Sus scrofa: one gene and its partners. The protein of the gene in region 3 interacts with the protein of the main gene of each other region in a pairwise test. Links are inferred from orthologs where the notes say so. Each region holds a gene or a part of one and is shown on either strand. Other genes may lie near its edges. The genes, in order: EDC3, RITA1, DCP1A and PNRC2.

The links.
Region 1: the proteins of DCP1A (region 3) and EDC3 interact in binary tests that used the Homo sapiens proteins (3 or more experiments, as listed by UniProt). The two-hybrid records come from large-scale screens. The link is inferred for Sus scrofa from reciprocal best matches to the Homo sapiens genes DCP1A and EDC3.
Region 2: the proteins of DCP1A (region 3) and RITA1 interact in binary tests that used the Homo sapiens proteins (3 or more experiments, as listed by UniProt). The two-hybrid records come from large-scale screens. The link is inferred for Sus scrofa from reciprocal best matches to the Homo sapiens genes DCP1A and RITA1.
Region 4: the proteins of DCP1A (region 3) and PNRC2 interact in binary tests that used the Homo sapiens proteins (3 or more experiments, as listed by UniProt). The link is inferred for Sus scrofa from reciprocal best matches to the Homo sapiens genes DCP1A and PNRC2.

Annotation. Positions count from the first base shown.
Region 1 is NC_010449.5:58,891,169-58,894,729, forward strand, and holds part of EDC3 (enhancer of mRNA-decapping protein 3), read left to right. Parts: coding exon 1-204; intron 205-1,299; coding exon 1,300-1,634; 3' UTR 1,635-3,561. UniProt on the Homo sapiens protein: Binds single-stranded RNA. Involved in the process of mRNA degradation and in the positive regulation of mRNA decapping. May play a role in spermiogenesis and oogenesis.
Region 2 is NC_010456.5:38,666,630-38,670,938, reverse strand, and holds the start of RITA1 (RBPJ-interacting and tubulin-associated protein 1), read right to left. Parts: upstream 2,854-4,309; 5' UTR 2,585-2,853; intron 2,423-2,584; 5' UTR 2,282-2,422; intron 1,877-2,281; 5' UTR 1,822-1,876; coding exon 1,511-1,821; intron 1-1,510. Other genes in the region: ATP-dependent RNA helicase DDX54, read left to right, coding at 3,155-3,328. UniProt on the Homo sapiens protein: Tubulin-binding protein that acts as a negative regulator of Notch signaling pathway.
Region 3 is NC_010455.5:35,423,022-35,427,239, forward strand, and holds the start of DCP1A (mRNA-decapping enzyme 1A), read right to left. Parts: upstream 2,825-4,218; 5' UTR 2,188-2,824; coding exon 2,163-2,187; intron 1-2,162. UniProt on the Homo sapiens protein: Necessary for the degradation of mRNAs, both in normal mRNA turnover and in nonsense-mediated mRNA decay. Removes the 7-methyl guanine cap structure from mRNA molecules, yielding a 5'-phosphorylated mRNA fragment and 7m-GDP.
Region 4 is NC_010448.4:81,721,752-81,725,758, forward strand, and holds the start of PNRC2 (proline-rich nuclear receptor coactivator 2), read left to right. Parts: upstream 1-1,174; 5' UTR 1,175-1,327; intron 1,328-2,231; 5' UTR 2,232-2,437; intron 2,438-2,725; 5' UTR 2,726-2,743; coding exon 2,744-3,163; 3' UTR 3,164-4,007. UniProt on the Homo sapiens protein: Involved in nonsense-mediated mRNA decay (NMD) by acting as a bridge between the mRNA decapping complex and the NMD machinery. May act by targeting the NMD machinery to the P-body and recruiting the decapping machinery to aberrant mRNAs.

The DNA of each region.
Region 1 (3,561 bases), on a different chromosome or scaffold from region 3:
ATATTCACCAGAGGCCTACAGTGGCCCTGCTATGTGGGCCCCATGTGAAGGGGGCTCAGGGTATCAGCTGTGGAAGGCATCTAGCTAACCATGATGTCCAGGTCATCCTCTTCCTTCCCAACTTCATGAAGATGCTGGAATCCATCACCAACGAGCTGTCTCTCTTCAGCAAGACCCAAGGCCAACAAGTATCTAGCCTCAAAGGTGAGCACTTGGACAGGGCCAGGCCGAGGCCCTCTCCCTCCTCCGTAGTTTGATGGTCTGGCAGTGCCACCCAGTGGCGGCAGGTGGAAAAGCACCACAAGCATAGTGTTCTTTCCCTGTGAGTGGAGTTAGTGTCTGAGATAAATAATTTTGGTGCCAACCGGCCTACTTCCCATCCCTTCACCTTCCTCGTTCTCCACTCAGATGGAGAGGTTGGGACCCATTTATTCATTTCACAAATATTTACAAGATGGGCACCGTTCCTGACACTTGGGGATATTGGCAGCAGGTTTTGTTCTTTTGGATTTTTTTTTTTTTTTCCTCTTAAATCTGTGTTTCCATGGAGCTTACATTCTGGTTAGGATGGGCCACAAGTAACATTTCTATCCGGTCAGATGGTAGTAAGTGTTAATGGAGACAAATAAAGCAGGGAGGAGTTCCTGTCGTGGCTCAGCAGAAACAAATCCCAGTAGTATCCATGAGGACACAGGTTCGATCCCTGGCCTTGCTCAGTGGGTTAAGGATCCAGCGTTGCCATGAGCTGTGGTGTAGGTTGCAGCTCAGCTCGGATCCTGCATTGGTGTGGCTGTGGCGTAGGCCAGCAGCTGTAGCTCTGATTCCACCCTGCCCAAGGACTTCCATATGCCTCAGGGCGGCTGTAAAAAGAAAGGAAGGAAGAAGGGAGTGGAGGGAGATAGAGATTGTTGGCGGGTTGGGTGAAAGGTAGCAGACTTAAACATTTAGGGTCTAATCATAGATTATTGTAAGGATTTGACCTGTTACTCTGGGTGAGATGGAGAGTCAATGGAAGGATAAGAAGAGAGATAATCCAGCTCAGGTTGCAGATGATCATTTTAGCTGTTATTTGAGAGAAGATTGTTACAGTGAGCGGTGTGAAGGCTGTTGGGGTAACTGGAGAGGGAAATGATGTGGCGGAGGCAGCATGGTAGTGGTGGAATCAGTAAAAGGTGGCCCCTGCAGCGTCATCAGAGTGGTGGAGTGGCATCACTCTTGGGGCCACCTTGGTTCTGGTCCCCTGCCTGGGCTGCTCTCTGATTCGTAGGGGTTTTCAGATGGCACTCTTTCCACCTGCAGATCTGCCCACTAGCCCTGTGGACCTGGTGATCAACTGCCTGGATTGCCCCGAGAATGCCTTCCTGCGGGATCAGCCCTGGTACAAGGCAGCTGTGGCCTGGGCCAACCAGAACCGAGCGCCAGTACTCAGCATAGACCCTCCTGTGCATGAAGTTGAACAGGGCATCGATGCCAAGTGGTCGCTGGCTCTGGGCCTGCCTCTGCCTTTAGGGGAGCATGCCGGCCGCGTCTATCTGTGCGACATCGGCATTCCCCAGCAGGTGTTCCAGGAGGTGGGCATCAACTACCACTCGCCCTTTGGCTGCAAGTTTGTCATCCCACTGCACTCCGCCTAGAAGGGCTCTAGGCAGGCTGGACCTTGCGGTCCCCCCGCTGCTCCTGATACTGAACTTGACAACGAACGCCTTAAGGATGTGAAACTTCATGGACCTTGTTCAATTTTTTCGTTTGCATTTGTTTCTTTGAGAGAACAGATGGTATTTAAAACTGACCTGTCACCTGCCCTTAGCCAGGGAAGGCCTCCCCACTGGGTGTGCGGGGCAGGTGGCAGGCTGAGTGGATGGTGGGTCCAGGGATCCATACACTCAGCCCCCGTGTGGTCAGATGGGGCTTTGTTTACAGACATAGGCAGCTCACAGACTGTGTTTCAGGTTTACAGCCACTGGACCTGGACGAGCGCCTCATGGGGTGGGGCAGTTCTGTTTAGGGGCCTGTGCTTGCTCTGTTTCAGAGCTTGTGGCTTTGTCTCCCCTGCTTCCTCCCCCCAAGCAGCCCTTACCGATCATGTAGAACTGGCTGTGCTGCAGTTGCCCACTAGAGGGCAGACTTGCGTCCTCCATGTAATCTGAGGGCTTTGAGGTCTTCTCTGAGCCCCACCATAAGTTGATTTGGGGGCTTTTGACCCTTTCTCCTGAGCTGATCTAAGTTTTATGCTGGAGTTTTGTTTTTTGTTATTTTTTTTTTCTAAGATTCCTTCCTCCTTCCCACTCCATCACTCTGAGAGGCAGAGAAGTGGGGGTGGCATCAGAATTGTTTTACTATATTGGAATTTTTTACTGTTTTTCTGTTGTCTTCAGTACAGGTAGTATAAGGTTATGTTACTAGAGAACCACAGTGCCCATCTTGCCAGCAGTGCCCCCCGCCCCAAACCCATACTCTCTAGCTGGGGGCTGAGCCTTTGCCTAGTCTGGGGCCAGACCCCTCAGGGTGCAGCTTTAATGTTTAGTATTGGGGAGGCCCCAGGGGGAGCCTGGTGCTGAGCCAGAAGAGGCTCCCTGGTGCTTCTGTCCTAGGCCACCACTCCCCTCCGCTCCCTGCCTGCACACACATACCCGTCTTCTCTTCTACCCCCTCTGCCCTTCCTCTGCAGTGGTCCTCTGCAGCTGTGATCCCAGAGCAGGGTGCATGTCTCTCCCCTTTGGGCTCCACCCCAGCTTTTACAGTGTCTGGGCCTTGAACCCTCTTTGTCCTTTCTAGATGAGTAGGCTCAGGGCCAGCGCCCTGTCTCAAAGATGCCAAAATGAGGCTAGTTCTAGATGAGCTAGCTGGGGGGTGCTCAGCCTGAAGAACATTGTGCTGCTCAGATCCTATGCACTGAGCCCGTGGACATTCACAGGCCTAGGCCCTGGAGGCTGGCAGGACAGGAGCCATGCCCCGAAGTTTCTGGGAGAGGCTCTTGCAAAAGGCTTGTGCTTTAAAGCCTCTTTCAGGGCTTCAGGCTTCTGCTCTGTGCCCACTCACTCTGGTTAAGGGGGTGAGTAAAAGGGCTTGGCAAGGATTGTGGACACAGGGTAGGCCCTGGCACCATGGGTTTCAGGCTACTTTCACTTTCTTATAGGAGCATAGCCAGGAGCAGATGAGGCAGGGCAGAGGGCTGGTCCCTCCTTTCCTCCCATCCTCCTTCAAATGCTGAATTGTCTCTAGCAGTGGAAGGTCAGCGACTGTGAATCCCGTGCTGTATATCCTTCCTGAGCCTCTGCTTACTCTCAGGGCCAAGAAGCTCCCCACATGGGGCCCTCTCTTTATAGAAGCAGGGCTGTAAACTGAGGAGCAGTGCAAGATTACAGGCATTTTGGTAAGCAGTCGTTAACCCAGCCCTGGCTTCCGGTTAATGCAGGTAGGTCCCCTGATTGGGTGCAGTGAAAAAGAGCTAGAAGAACCCTGGCCCAGAAGACTCTGCTTGCTCCAGTAAGTCACAGTGGCCCTGGGGTGCTGGCCTTGTGTTGAGGAGCCACAGGGAATTGTTAGTGGCCAAGGCTTTCC
Region 2 (4,309 bases), on a different chromosome or scaffold from region 3:
TCTTTGAAAAGTCAATCTTTTGCTATTTGATTCAACTGCTGAAAACCACATCTGGTTGATACCTATGTCTGTCTGGTACCAAAGTGTTTGCTCAATAGCATCTCCACTTCTTAGGCACCTTCTAACTTAGGCACCTCTACTTGTCAGCATCCTACAGCCTTGCTGTAGGTGTCAGTGCTATTAATGTCAATCTGACCCTGCCTTGTGGTCCATGAGACTTGTCAGGTTGACGTAATAAGGGGGTCTTGCTTTTATCTCTGTTGAATTTTATCTCCTTAAATAGGCATTATTCTCATTCTTAACTAATCTTTGTGTCTACTGGCTCAGAAGGGATCCTAAATATGATCGCTAGTTATTTGGACTGAATTGAGTCCTCCCAAAATTCATGTGAATTTTAAATAAGTAATTAGAGGTTAAATGAGGCCATAAAGGCGAGGTCCTAAACCAATACGATTTGTGTTCTTATAAGAAGAGGAAGAGACACCAGGAGTATACACCTCACAAAGAAAAGTCTCTTTGAGGACCCAGTGAAGAGGTGGCCATCTGCAACCCAAGGAGAGGCTTCAGGAGAAACCAACCTTCCTGGCCTCTTGACCTTGGACTTCAAGCCTCTAAAACTGTGAAAAAATAAATTTCTGTTGTTTAAGCCCCCAGTCTACAATATTTTGTTATGATAGCCTGACTGACTAAATTACTAGTCTTCCATGTGTTTGATCAAATCACTGATGACAATAAATAAGTTAGAGTCTTGTGGCTTACCATGAGACACCTTCCTCCAGATCAATATCTATATACTTTTATTATTTTTTTTGCCTTTTAGGACCGCACCTGCGGCATATGGAAGTTCCCAGGCTAGGGGTCGAATCGGAGCTACAGCCGCTGGCCTACGCCACAGCCATAGCAACGTGGGATCCAAGCTGTGTCTGTGACCTACACAACAGCCAACAGCAATGCCAGATCCTTAACCCACTGAGTGAGGCCAGGGATAGAACGTCGTTCTCATGGATCCTACAAAAGAGAACTCCCAGGCCAATATTAATCAAAATAATCCAAATAATCTAGTTCTAATTTACAACAATAACCATTAGCATTAGACCCTGTTTTCCTAACTTGTTCATGAAAATGCAGCAGGAGCCATTTTATGAATAACTTGATGAAATGTGGAATCACATCTGTGTTATTTTATCAATCAACCACACTAATAATCTTATGCAAACTGCTGTGTGATCTTGGGCAAATCACCTGACCCCTCTGGGCCTCAGAAGACCAGCCTAAGACATCTGGGGATGGTTATTGCACCATCACAACCATCATCACCACCATTTATTGAGAGCTTTTTAATTGTCAGGTTATTGTGCCAAGCACTGTAAAGTCTCATCTCGTTTAATCCTCTCAATAATCCCACTAGGTACCACCTTCCACTGTGAGGAAATCGCAGCTCAGAGAATTCAAAGTGCTTGCCCAAGGCCACACAGCATGTGAACAGCAGGGCATCTCCCTGGCCTGTTACCTGTACTTGTTCTTCTTCCTTGGTGTGGGGGTTGGGATGCTACCCCTGGAAGAGCTGGTCTCACAGCTCCTGTTGGCTCCTGAGGCCTGTGATGCCCCTGTACCCACTCCTCTGGTTCTGTTGGCTTTCTTCATCCAGGGTGGGTCAAAATCTGGTGGTGTGGGCCGGGTGCCTGCAGGACTGCCAAACAAAGTCTCATCCACGTATGACGGCCTAACATTGACCCGGTGGTTGCCCCGGCAGCGTTGCTGAACATGGAGGGTCTGCATCCCACTGATGGCCAGCTCAACTGGGGTCTTCATGCTGCCCATGGTCTCTGGTGACAGCAGTTGTGCTCTGCCTTCCAGGCCCTGCCTCCAGGGCTCCCTGTGAAAAACGGTCATGGTGGCAACCATCTGTCATCAGCAAAGACTGGCAGTCACATAAATTCCCATCCCCAGGGCAAAAAGGTCACATTCTCCCTTAACCAGACCTCCTCAAAGGGGAGCTGCCAATCCCAGGGCACATTTTGGAAATCTGACCCTTTTTTAGTTGTCAGGATGACAGGGACGGGGGTCCTACTGGCCAAAATTTCATGAATAAACATGTACTTCCGGCATACACTGTGTGCTCAACAAATATTTACAGAATGCTAGGGGATTGGAGAAGAGATTGGGCTTGTGCCCATTTTGGCACCAACCAGAAAACAAAGGAAGGGGAGACAAGGGAAGTCCCTATATGCTGTACATGTTTACGGGGCAGGTATAATAACCAGCATAATCCCAAGCCTACCTCTTGCAAAGTGCTTCATAAGCATTGTCTCATTTAATCTTCTCAACGGTCCTGTGACATAGCTTCCATTACGTCCATTCTACAGATGACAAAACTGGGGCTTCAAAAGCTGAAGTCACAAATGTCAGTCACACCTATAAGCTAAAACAGTGGGAGTTGAATCTGAACCTGATAGAATTCTAGAGCTTGTGCACTCAACTATTGTACTACTGAAGGATCACGCCCAGTCTGTTATTCGCCGATCCCCAAATCAAAATCCCGGCTGACGTCTGAGGTGCCGGCAACCTGGAGTTACTTTCCTACCTGAGCATTTTGTATTGCTGATGTCGGCCGCAATTCTATGGCCCCTCCCCCCAAGTCTGGACTCCTTTGCGGGGGCGTTCTGGCACCTGCAGCGCGCGGTACACCCGAGATCTGCAGCTCCGACTCTCAGGAGCCCGCGACCCTCGGCTGCTCAGGCCACCCCCAGCCCCCGACCCGGGCACCGCGCGGACAGCCCGGGCAAAGCGCCGACGGACTGGACCAGGGAAGTCAAGCCCTAGCGACGTCAGGTCCGCACGCGCATCAAACAGCAACCAACCACCAGCCCTCCAACCGCAGGCCCCGGCGAGCCGGCCGGAACCATTCGCTCCCGAGGTGGTCAGGGCTCCCCGTTCCGGACGCCACCTGGAGTTCCCCAAAGCCTTGGGGAGGGGTATCTCACGCCGGTGAGACGACACTGTGGGCGCGCGCATTGTGTGTCAAGCATCCGGAGGCTGCGAGAGGGGAGGGAACGCAGCAGCGGCCGCGTAGAGGCCCACCCCCGCCCCAAACGCGCCGTTGGTACATTCCGGCAGACTCCGCTCCCTCCTGTTTCTCGGCGCCGGGGCCCGCATGGCTGCCGGCAGGCGCCCGGCGGCCGCACAGCGGTCCGGAGCTGCCATGGCCCAATGGAGGAAAAAGAAGGGGCTCCGGAAGCGCCGGGGAGCGGCCTCCCAGTCCCGCAGCAGCGACTCGGAGGACGGCGAGTTTGAGATCCAGGCGCAAGATGACGCCCGGGCCCAGAAGGTAGGAACGCATATATGTCGGAGCCCAAGCGCTGGCTCCGTGCAGCGCCTCGCAGCTTGAGTTTCCCCAGCTGAGGAGTGGGCACGGCTGAAGGTGGGGAGAGGTCGTCTGGCCTGGGGTTGGGTCAGGACCTCCGGCCTGAGGCTCATGTGCTCCAGGGGCTGGGGCCTGCGGGCCTTCCGGGCCGGCTCTCAGTTTCTTGCTTCTCATTGGCTACTTCCTAGCCGGGGAACGGGTCCTGATTCCCACTCATCCAATGGAAAGTGCGGATGCTGAAGATCGGACTTGGAGAGTTTGGGGGATTCTTGGGAGGATGAATTAGGAGAAGGCTTCACCGCTTGGCTTGAGACCGTGGCTCCCCCAAACTTTTGGAAACTAATAATAAGTTAGACTTGCTTTTGTTGATCGCTTATTATGTGCCAGGCTCCGGCGCTAAGAGCTTTACAAACCTTATCATTTAATCCTTACACCCACCCGGTGAGCTAAGTAGCCATCCTGATTTTCCAGAGGAGGAAACCTAGGCCTAGAGGGGTTAAAGGAACGTGACCAAGATCTCAGGGCTTGTGAGTGGGAGAGCAAGGATTCAAATCTCGGACTGTATGGTTCCAGTCCCCGTGCTGTTTCCTCTACTGAATGTTAACTGTATGCAAGGGGCGGCAGGGGGGCGGCGGTAGGTGTGAACACCAACGTGGAAAAGCGCTGTAGCCCAGTATTTCTCACAGCCTTGTGCGTAGCGGCTGCCAGGCACAGAGAAGCGTTTATATGTAGAGAGGGTTCTACCCTCGGAGGCAGGGACCAGATGGGAACCTTATTCCACCTGAGCCTCATATAGTAGATCCTCTGTAAATATGGACCAAGGCACAGCCCTATTTTCAAATTTGACCCAATCTTGTACTGGCTGGAGGATATGGGAGAAGTTGCTTAACCTCTCTGAGCTTCAGTTTCCACACACATAGAAAGCAATGGATTATGTGCATCTCG
Region 3 (4,218 bases):
CAGCTCACGGCAATGCCGGATCCTTAACCCATTGAGTGAGGCTAGGGATCAAACCTGCAATCTCATGGTTCCTAGTCAGATTCATTTCCACTGCGCCACGACGGGAACTCCCATTGAATCTTTTGATGCACAAATGTAGTATATCTCTCCATTTATTTAGGTTCTGATTTTTTTAAAATTCAGTATTTTGTAATTTTCAGTACACCTGTACATGTTTTGTTATGTTTACACCTAAGTATTTAATTTTCCCTGTACAATTTATAAACGGTTACTACCTTTAACTTGGGGTTTCCACAGGTTCATTATAAGTATGTATAAGTGTGATTTATTTTTGTGTGTTGATCTTGTATCTCCAGACCTTTCCAAACTCACTTATTAGTTGTAGGAGTTTGTACAGAGACATTCATGTCATCTGTGGACAGAGACAGTTTTATTTCTTCTTTTCCAATCTGTAGGCCTATTCTCTTTTCCCCTTATTACACTGGCTAGAACTTTCAGTGCTATGTTGAATAGCAGTAATGAGAATAGATTTCCTTGCTTTATTTTCAATATTAGAGGGAAAACATTCACCCTTTCCTTTATAATGTGGTAGATATACTGACTGATTTTTAATACTGAACCACCTTTGCAGAGCTGGAATAAAGCCCATTTGTTCATAATTTATATTTCTTTTCTATATATTGTTGGCTTTGCTATTATCTGGTTAAGGATTTTTTTTTAAAGTTCATTAGAGATACTGGTTTGTAGTTTTCTTTTTTGTACTTTCTTGTTTTGAGTATTAAAGTAAACGTTGGTCTTACAGAATAAGTTGAGAAGTGTTTCCCCTTTTCTGTTTTCTGGAAGAAACTGTAAAATTAGCATTAAAGAATCTTTGAATTCTCCAGTAAAATCATCTGGGCCTGGGGATTTCTTTTTCGGAAACTTTAAAATTAGGAATTCAATTTATTTCATGGCAATAGGACTATTTATTTATGTTATCTATTTTATCTTGGTTTTGTAGTTTGTTGTCTTCAAGGAATTGGTCCATTTCTTCTAAATGGTCACGTGTATGAGTGTAAAGTTATTGATAGCATTCTCCTATTACAGAGGATGTGTGGATGATATTGGAGGCAGATATGGTAGGGGCTCCCTGGAGAAAGAGAAACAGGCATGGCTTTCTTGACAGAAGAGAAACAATTTTTGGCCTACGACATTTTGTGATCTAAGCCTGGTCACAATGCTTACCCTTGAACAGGTCCCAGTAATTAATGATCTTAAAGGAACAAAAGAATGCAGAAACAAATTATTATCAGGTAGGAGAAGTAACGATAGCAAAGATAATGTAGCGGTTGTAAAGGCTCCCAGTTCTATTTCAACGGTAAAGACTAGCCTGAAGTGTTCAACCACCAGATCAGCTGGAGTCTAAGGGAGGAGTATGTTGACATTTTCTGGCCCTTATAACTTCAATCAACTAACACTTGGATTCTGTGGACCACCCAAGCTCCTTAATGAATACGCATGTATGCTTAACTTGAAACTCCCTCATCTTTGCTGCTTGGGGAGACCCTGTTTTGTGAAAGATCCCATGTTCCCTATACTTGCTGCAAGTAATAATAAACCCTTCCTTCTCATGATCTTTAGCTTGGTTATGTCTTTTGGCTTGACACAAACTAAGAGGCAAATCTACTTTTCAGGTAACTACATCCACTATTCCACTCCTGATATTGATAATCTATGTCATCTTTTTACTTTTATTAGTCTTTATTAAAGGTTTATCAACTTTATTGACTTTTTCAAATAATCAACTTTTTGTCTCATTCATTTTTCTTTGTTTTCATCGTCTTAATGTCATTGATTTCTGCTCTACTCTTTGTTCTTTCCTTACTTCTGCATGCTTTGAGTTAGTTTATTTTTTTCTTCTTTTTCTAATTTCTTGAGGTGGGAATTTAGTAGGCCCTTAGCCAGTGTTGCTTGAAAGGATGGGAGGAGTTTTCAATGGCTAGGCCACCTGGAGTACCTTCACTGGTGAAGGGAGATAAAGACTGCTTCCTAGGCCAGGTGGTTGTAATGTGGCTCCTTCCCTACACCCACCTCCTTCTCATGAAAAGGAGGGAAAATATTACCTCAGTGGCTATTTATTGTCAGTAAGGTTTAAATCCTTCGTGCAGTCTTGTTGGGCTCACCTGGTACTGCTGGCAGGGCTCCCATTCGATCTAGGAGAGGAACAAGCCTGTATGAGGCACCTTCCTTTGCTATGTTGGAGGTCAAGAAACACTATGCCTGGGTCCCCTTCTTCTGTTGAAGGCTTGTAAGACAAGCTGCTGTTGGGTTGTTCTGTCAGTTCTGGGTCCCGAACCCGATCTTCTTCTTTCTACCTTTTAGAATTTTCCTGATTGTCCTTTTGTTACTTCTGATTTTTAGAATTGTATTTAATAGGGGAGAAGGAAAGACAAATTTATGCCATTTTGTTTGGGTCAGAAGTTCCATTATGTACTTTTATGGATAGAAAACCGAGGCTCATGGAAAGACTGACATTAATAAATTAGAGAAAAATAGTCTTATAACTAGAACCAGAACTCATGTCTTCTCACTCTAAGCCAGTATCCTTCCACTACATACTCAATGCCTCATTAGTTGAAATAACACAAAATATTCTGTAGAAAGTAAAGTAAACAAGTTTCAATTACTCTTGAGGACTAAAACACAAAAAAGAATCAAGCATAAATAATCGAACAAGGTAAAAATTACATTCTAAAAGAATGACAATACAGAAAATACAAATGCTAGCAGAAGAAACTTTAAAAATCCTTTGAGTTCCTGCTGTTGCTCAGTGGGTTAAGAACGTGACTAAGGTCTATGAGGATTTGGGTTCCATCCCTGGTCTTGCTCAGTGGGTTACGGATTCAGCGTTGCCATAAGCTGCAGTGTAGGTTGGCAGCTGCAACTCCAATTCAACCCCTAGCCTGGAAACTTCCATATGCCATGGGTGTGGCCCTAAAAAAAAAAAAAAAAGACCAAAAAAAAAAATTCTTTTTCTATAACTATGATTTGAATTGCATCAATACACATTAACATATACTCACACTACCAATATACATTAATTTAGAAAGCCACCTTTTCATTTTTAAAAGTTTTATAGTAGTTGATCTACAATGTTTTGAAAATTTCTGCTATACAACAAAACAATACAGTTATACATATACATACATCCATTCTTTTCAGATTCTTTTCCCATATAGATTATCACAGAATATTGGGTAGAGTTCACTGTGCTATATAGCAGGTCTCTGTTGGCCAGCTGTTTAATATACCACAGTGTGCATATGTCAATTCCAAACCCCCAGCACATCCCAACTCACCCCACCTGTCCCCTTTGATAACTGTAAGTTTATTTTCAAAGTCTGTGGGTCTGTTTCTGTTCTGCAAATAAGTTCATTTGTATTATTTAAAAATTTTTTAATTTTTATTAATTTTTGCTTTTTAGGGCCACACCCGCAGCATATGGAGGTTCCCAGGCTAGGGGTTGAATCAGAGCTACAACTGCCAGCCTACACCACAGCCACAGCAACGTGGAATCAGAGCCAAGTCTGTGACCTACATCACAGCTCATGGCAATGCCGGATCCTTAATCCACTGAGTGAGGCCAGGGATTGAATCTGCAACTTCATGGTTCCTAGTAGGATTCATTTCCACTGCACCATGATGGGAATTCCTGTATTATTTTTTTTAGATTTCACATATAAGTGATACTATATGATATTTGTCACTGTTAATAAAAGCTTTTTTTTTTTTTAAAAGAAAATTAAGTGACCCCTAGCCTGGGAACCTCCATATGTCACAGTCATGGCCTTAAAAAAGATAAAAAAAAAAAAAAAAAAAAAAAAAAGGAAAGAAAGAAAGAAAGAAAATTAAGGTACAGGAGTTCTCATTGTGGCTCAGTGATAATGAACCCAACCAGTATCCATGAGGATGAGGGTTTGATCCATGGCCCTGCTCATGGATAAGGATCCAGCATTGCTGTGAGCTGTGGTATAGGTCACAGACAAGGCTCGGATCCTCCATTGCTATGGCTAACAACTGCATCTCCGATTTGACCCCTAGCCTGGGAACGTCCATATGCTGCAGATGTGGCCCTAAAAAGCAAAAAAAAAAAAAAAAAGAAAAAAAAGAAAAGAAAAGAAAATTAAGGTACAAATGACATAATATTATATTAGCTTCAGGTGTACAGTCCAACAATTT
Region 4 (4,007 bases), on a different chromosome or scaffold from region 3:
GGATACAGTGGGTTAATGGATCTGGTTAAAGGCTTGGATCTGACCCCATGAGGTGGCAAAACCAACCAACAAACCAAAAAACTCCTATGTTCATAGAAACTGTTGTTCTCTTTTAAAATACGAGCCTTGGGTTGCTTATCCATTTATTCCCAAGAAGTTGTCCTTTTCCTCTTTGCTGCACCTCACTGGCAAACGAACTTAACTCTTTTCTCCTCCCTTTATTTACACACTGCAGAAAGGGTTATAAGTAAGGGAACTCTCCTCTCAACAAACTCTTCTTGGGGCACTTACAACGTACTCTGTGTTCAGAGAAACGAAACCCTGCTTTGCCCCCTGCCCAACCCCACCCGGAGGATGTGTGCGCGGGAACTCGCGGACAAGTAGCTACCACATAGTGTGATTGAAGTTCAAGACCAGTCAGACACAAAGGAGGAACTGATTAACTTGACCCGCACGTGCGTCGGAAACGCCTTCACAGAAGAGGTAGCTTCTTAGAATTTCGAGGCTGGGGGCCAGGGGGGCGGGAAGGAACCGCAAGCTGGGGCGCTGGCGTGACCGAGAAACAGAGAGGGAGGAGTGTCTGGACTAAGTGGCCAGGGGCCAGCCTCGGAAAGCAACTTTGATCAGTATCTTCCATGTGTAAGAGATCGGTTACTCGGCTCAGTGAACTTAACTCGGGAACTCAACGCCCCCTCCAGTGACTCCCCATGGCCCGGAACCCACTTGGTTCCGAGTGCCACGGGACCCACTGGCCGGACAGCGCGGGAGGAAGCCGCTGTTCCAGTGGGCGGCCGACGCCCTTCTCCCCGGAGCCGCTTGCGCGCGGCTCTCGGACCCTGGAATCGGCGCGAGGGGCTGGTGCTGGCCGCGACTTGGGGTGTCGGACGGGGCCTGGTGGGCTTCTCCCGGAAGGGGCTGGTGTCACTCGGGGGCCCGAGAAAGGGCGGCAGCCGGGGCCCGCAGCGGTCTTTCCCGACATGCTCTTCTCGAGGAGTATTTGAAACCCTCGGCCACAGCCACCTCCCCTCCCTCGGCCCCGTCGGGCCCCAGCAACAGGCGGCGGCCCGCGTGTCATTGGCCGGGCCGCGCGAAAGCGTGTTTTGATTGGCCGCCGCGCTTCCCGGCCCAGCTTCTGCGCTCACTGTCGCCTCCATTTTGTCGGTAGAGGCAGAAGGAGGAGGTCGGCCGGGACGTTAAGGTGGCCTGCAGCAGGCTCGTCGGTGCCCGTTGGCTTCGCTCGTTCCGTGCCTCGTCTCTCCCTGGAAGGGGAGGGGGGCTTCGACGCCGAGCAGGATCCGCCGCTGTCGTAGTCCCGAGCTTGAAGTCGGTGAGTGGCGGGCGCGGCCATGTTGGCGGCCGCGCTCCCCATTGTTGGGGGTAGGAAGTCAGATCCAGTGCCCGGCGGGCGCAGGCGGCGGGGAAGACCGGGTTCCCCGGCCGGGCCCGAGCAACGCGGAGCGGCTCGGAAACCCAGCCACATCGGAAGAGCCGAACTTTCCAGGCTCTTGTTGGGAATGACTCACGATCCGGGAATTCGTAGTTTCTTTAGGGCTGTTAAAATAGTCTGGAAGGGCCTCTCGCTCTTTCAAAAAAAAGAGGGCTTATTATTTATATGGTGACTTGGTTTCTTGGAATAGCAAACGAAATCTTGAATGTTTAATGTTCCTGATAGGCATTTTCATACATATTAGATGGGACAGTGACTTCAGTTATGGCTTGTGGAACTTCTTTTAAAATGGGGAGGAGTCAAGAGTTCAAAACTAAAGGAAACGCTGCATCACGTAAACCTGTTTGGAGAGGAGGCTTTGTGGAAACGGATGTGTAATGTGTGCAAAGATTGGAAAGTAATGGTGAGACTTTAAAAACATAGCTTCTTTAGGAAACACAGTTTAAGCCCATTTCTTGGCATGGCTGTGAAAGTTAATGCTTCTGTGGTTTGACTGGTTTTGGTCACAGAATCCGTGTGAGAATCTGAAAAGTTCCTAGAAAAAAGATACAACTTATTGAGAGGTCTGGCGGACACCCTTCCCCAATTCCTTATGAGTTCCTGGATCTCAAGGCTTAGAAGAGTTCTTAGATGATGACAGTTCTAAGGTCAAAGCCATCTTTAGAGACATTATTTTCTGCCTTTTAATTAGGAAGTAGCCATTTAACTATTTCTGTAGCAAATAATAAATGATCGCTTTCTCCTGTTTAACACGTGAAATAATTTAGAAATCTTTGCTTTTTAGCTAGGACTTCTCTCAAGGTTGTGTGCTGAGGAGACTCAGATGTTGGCCTCAGTTCCTAGGCTGAACTCAGCAGATCGGCCCATGAAAACTTCTGTATTGAGACAAAGGAAAGGATCTGTCAGAAAGCAACATCTCTTATCCTGGGCTTGGCGGCAAGGAAGAGGACAGGTGGTGGAAATCCTGCAATCTGAAAAGCAGACTGAAAGGTATCCAAGACTTCATGTTGAAATGGGGCAGACATTTTTATGGACTCATCCTAAACTGTTTAAGTAGAGGATCATACCAATTTGTAAGTTCATTTTTCTCAAGAAGTAACAAAGGCTGTGCATATGAAGTGTGGGCATTGTAATTAAGTAAAAAGCAGCTGAATAGCACATCTTTGAGTCTTCACCAAGGTTTCTGGGGTTACAAGTTGTGACTACTGAAGTTTTTTTAAAGTTTTAAACTATCTTAAGTGGAATTTTACTTAGCATTTTGTTTCCATTTGCTTACAGGTGACAAAGAAGCTGAAGATGGGTGGTGGAGAGAGGTATAACATTCCAGCCCCTCAATCTAGAAATGTTAGTAAGAACCAACAACAGCTTAATAGACAGAAGACCAAGGATCAGAATTCCCAGATGAAGATTGTTCATAAGAAAAAGGAAAGAGGACATACTTACAATTCATCAGCAGCTGCATGGCAAGCCATGCAAAATGGGGGGAAGAACAAAAATTTTCCAAATAATCAAAATTGGAACTCTAGCTTATCAAGTCCCACCTTACTTTTTAAGTCTCAAACTAATCAGAACTATGCTGGAGCCAAATTTAGTGAGCCACCGTCACCAAGTGTTCTTCCTAAACCACCAAGCCACTGGGTTCCTGTTTCCTTCAATCCTTCCGATAAAGAAATAATGACATTTCAACTAAAAACCTTACTTAAAGTACAGGTATGAGATAAAGTACTAATGTTCAAAGCTAGTCAATATTTAGGGATAATTGGCAATTGTTTCAGACTAAATACACAAGGGAATTAATCTGTAAAATAGCTTGCGTAGAAAATATAATTAGACTTCATCTTTTATGTGTTATGTGCATTGATGTAATGATAGAATCAGTGCAACTTAACTAAGATTTGTACTTGATTATCAATACTAAATTAAGTGTTTTCAATGGATTAACCATTTAAATGAAACCAAGTGCAGATTTGGGGAGTGATAAAGGAATCAACCTTTTCTATTGCTTGTTGGGAAAATTAAGATTATCATTCATGGATCAGTAGGTTTACTTGTTGAAAGCTGGTGAATCTGATGATAAGCATCAAATTAAAACATACAGGGGTTGAAAACTAGTTGAATATTGAGTTCAATGTTCTAGAAACATCCAGACCAGTTACATATCAACAACCTGATGCACTGCCAAAAAAATGTGAACTTTTTAAAAAGATTATAGTTGTTTTAGTTAACTATATGGTGTACAGGGCACTAGGGGCTATTAGAATGAAATAGTATACCCCACTGGCCTTGTATATGACATGCAGTGGATAGATGTCTGCCAACAAAGGCACCGAAATCATTTTTTATGGAAATAGTATTTGGTGTTAACCAAGTAGCTTTCAAAATGCATTTTTGTATTATGGCACTGCACAAGCTATTCTGACAGTGATCTGGCTTCACACCATCCTTGCAAAGCTTGTTTAAAGTGGGGAGCTGTATAATGTGAAAGTTTTAAGTAGCTAGGAAAGAGCCATGTAAATATATGTAATAAACTTGTAGCATATGTAAAATTTTATTGGCATTT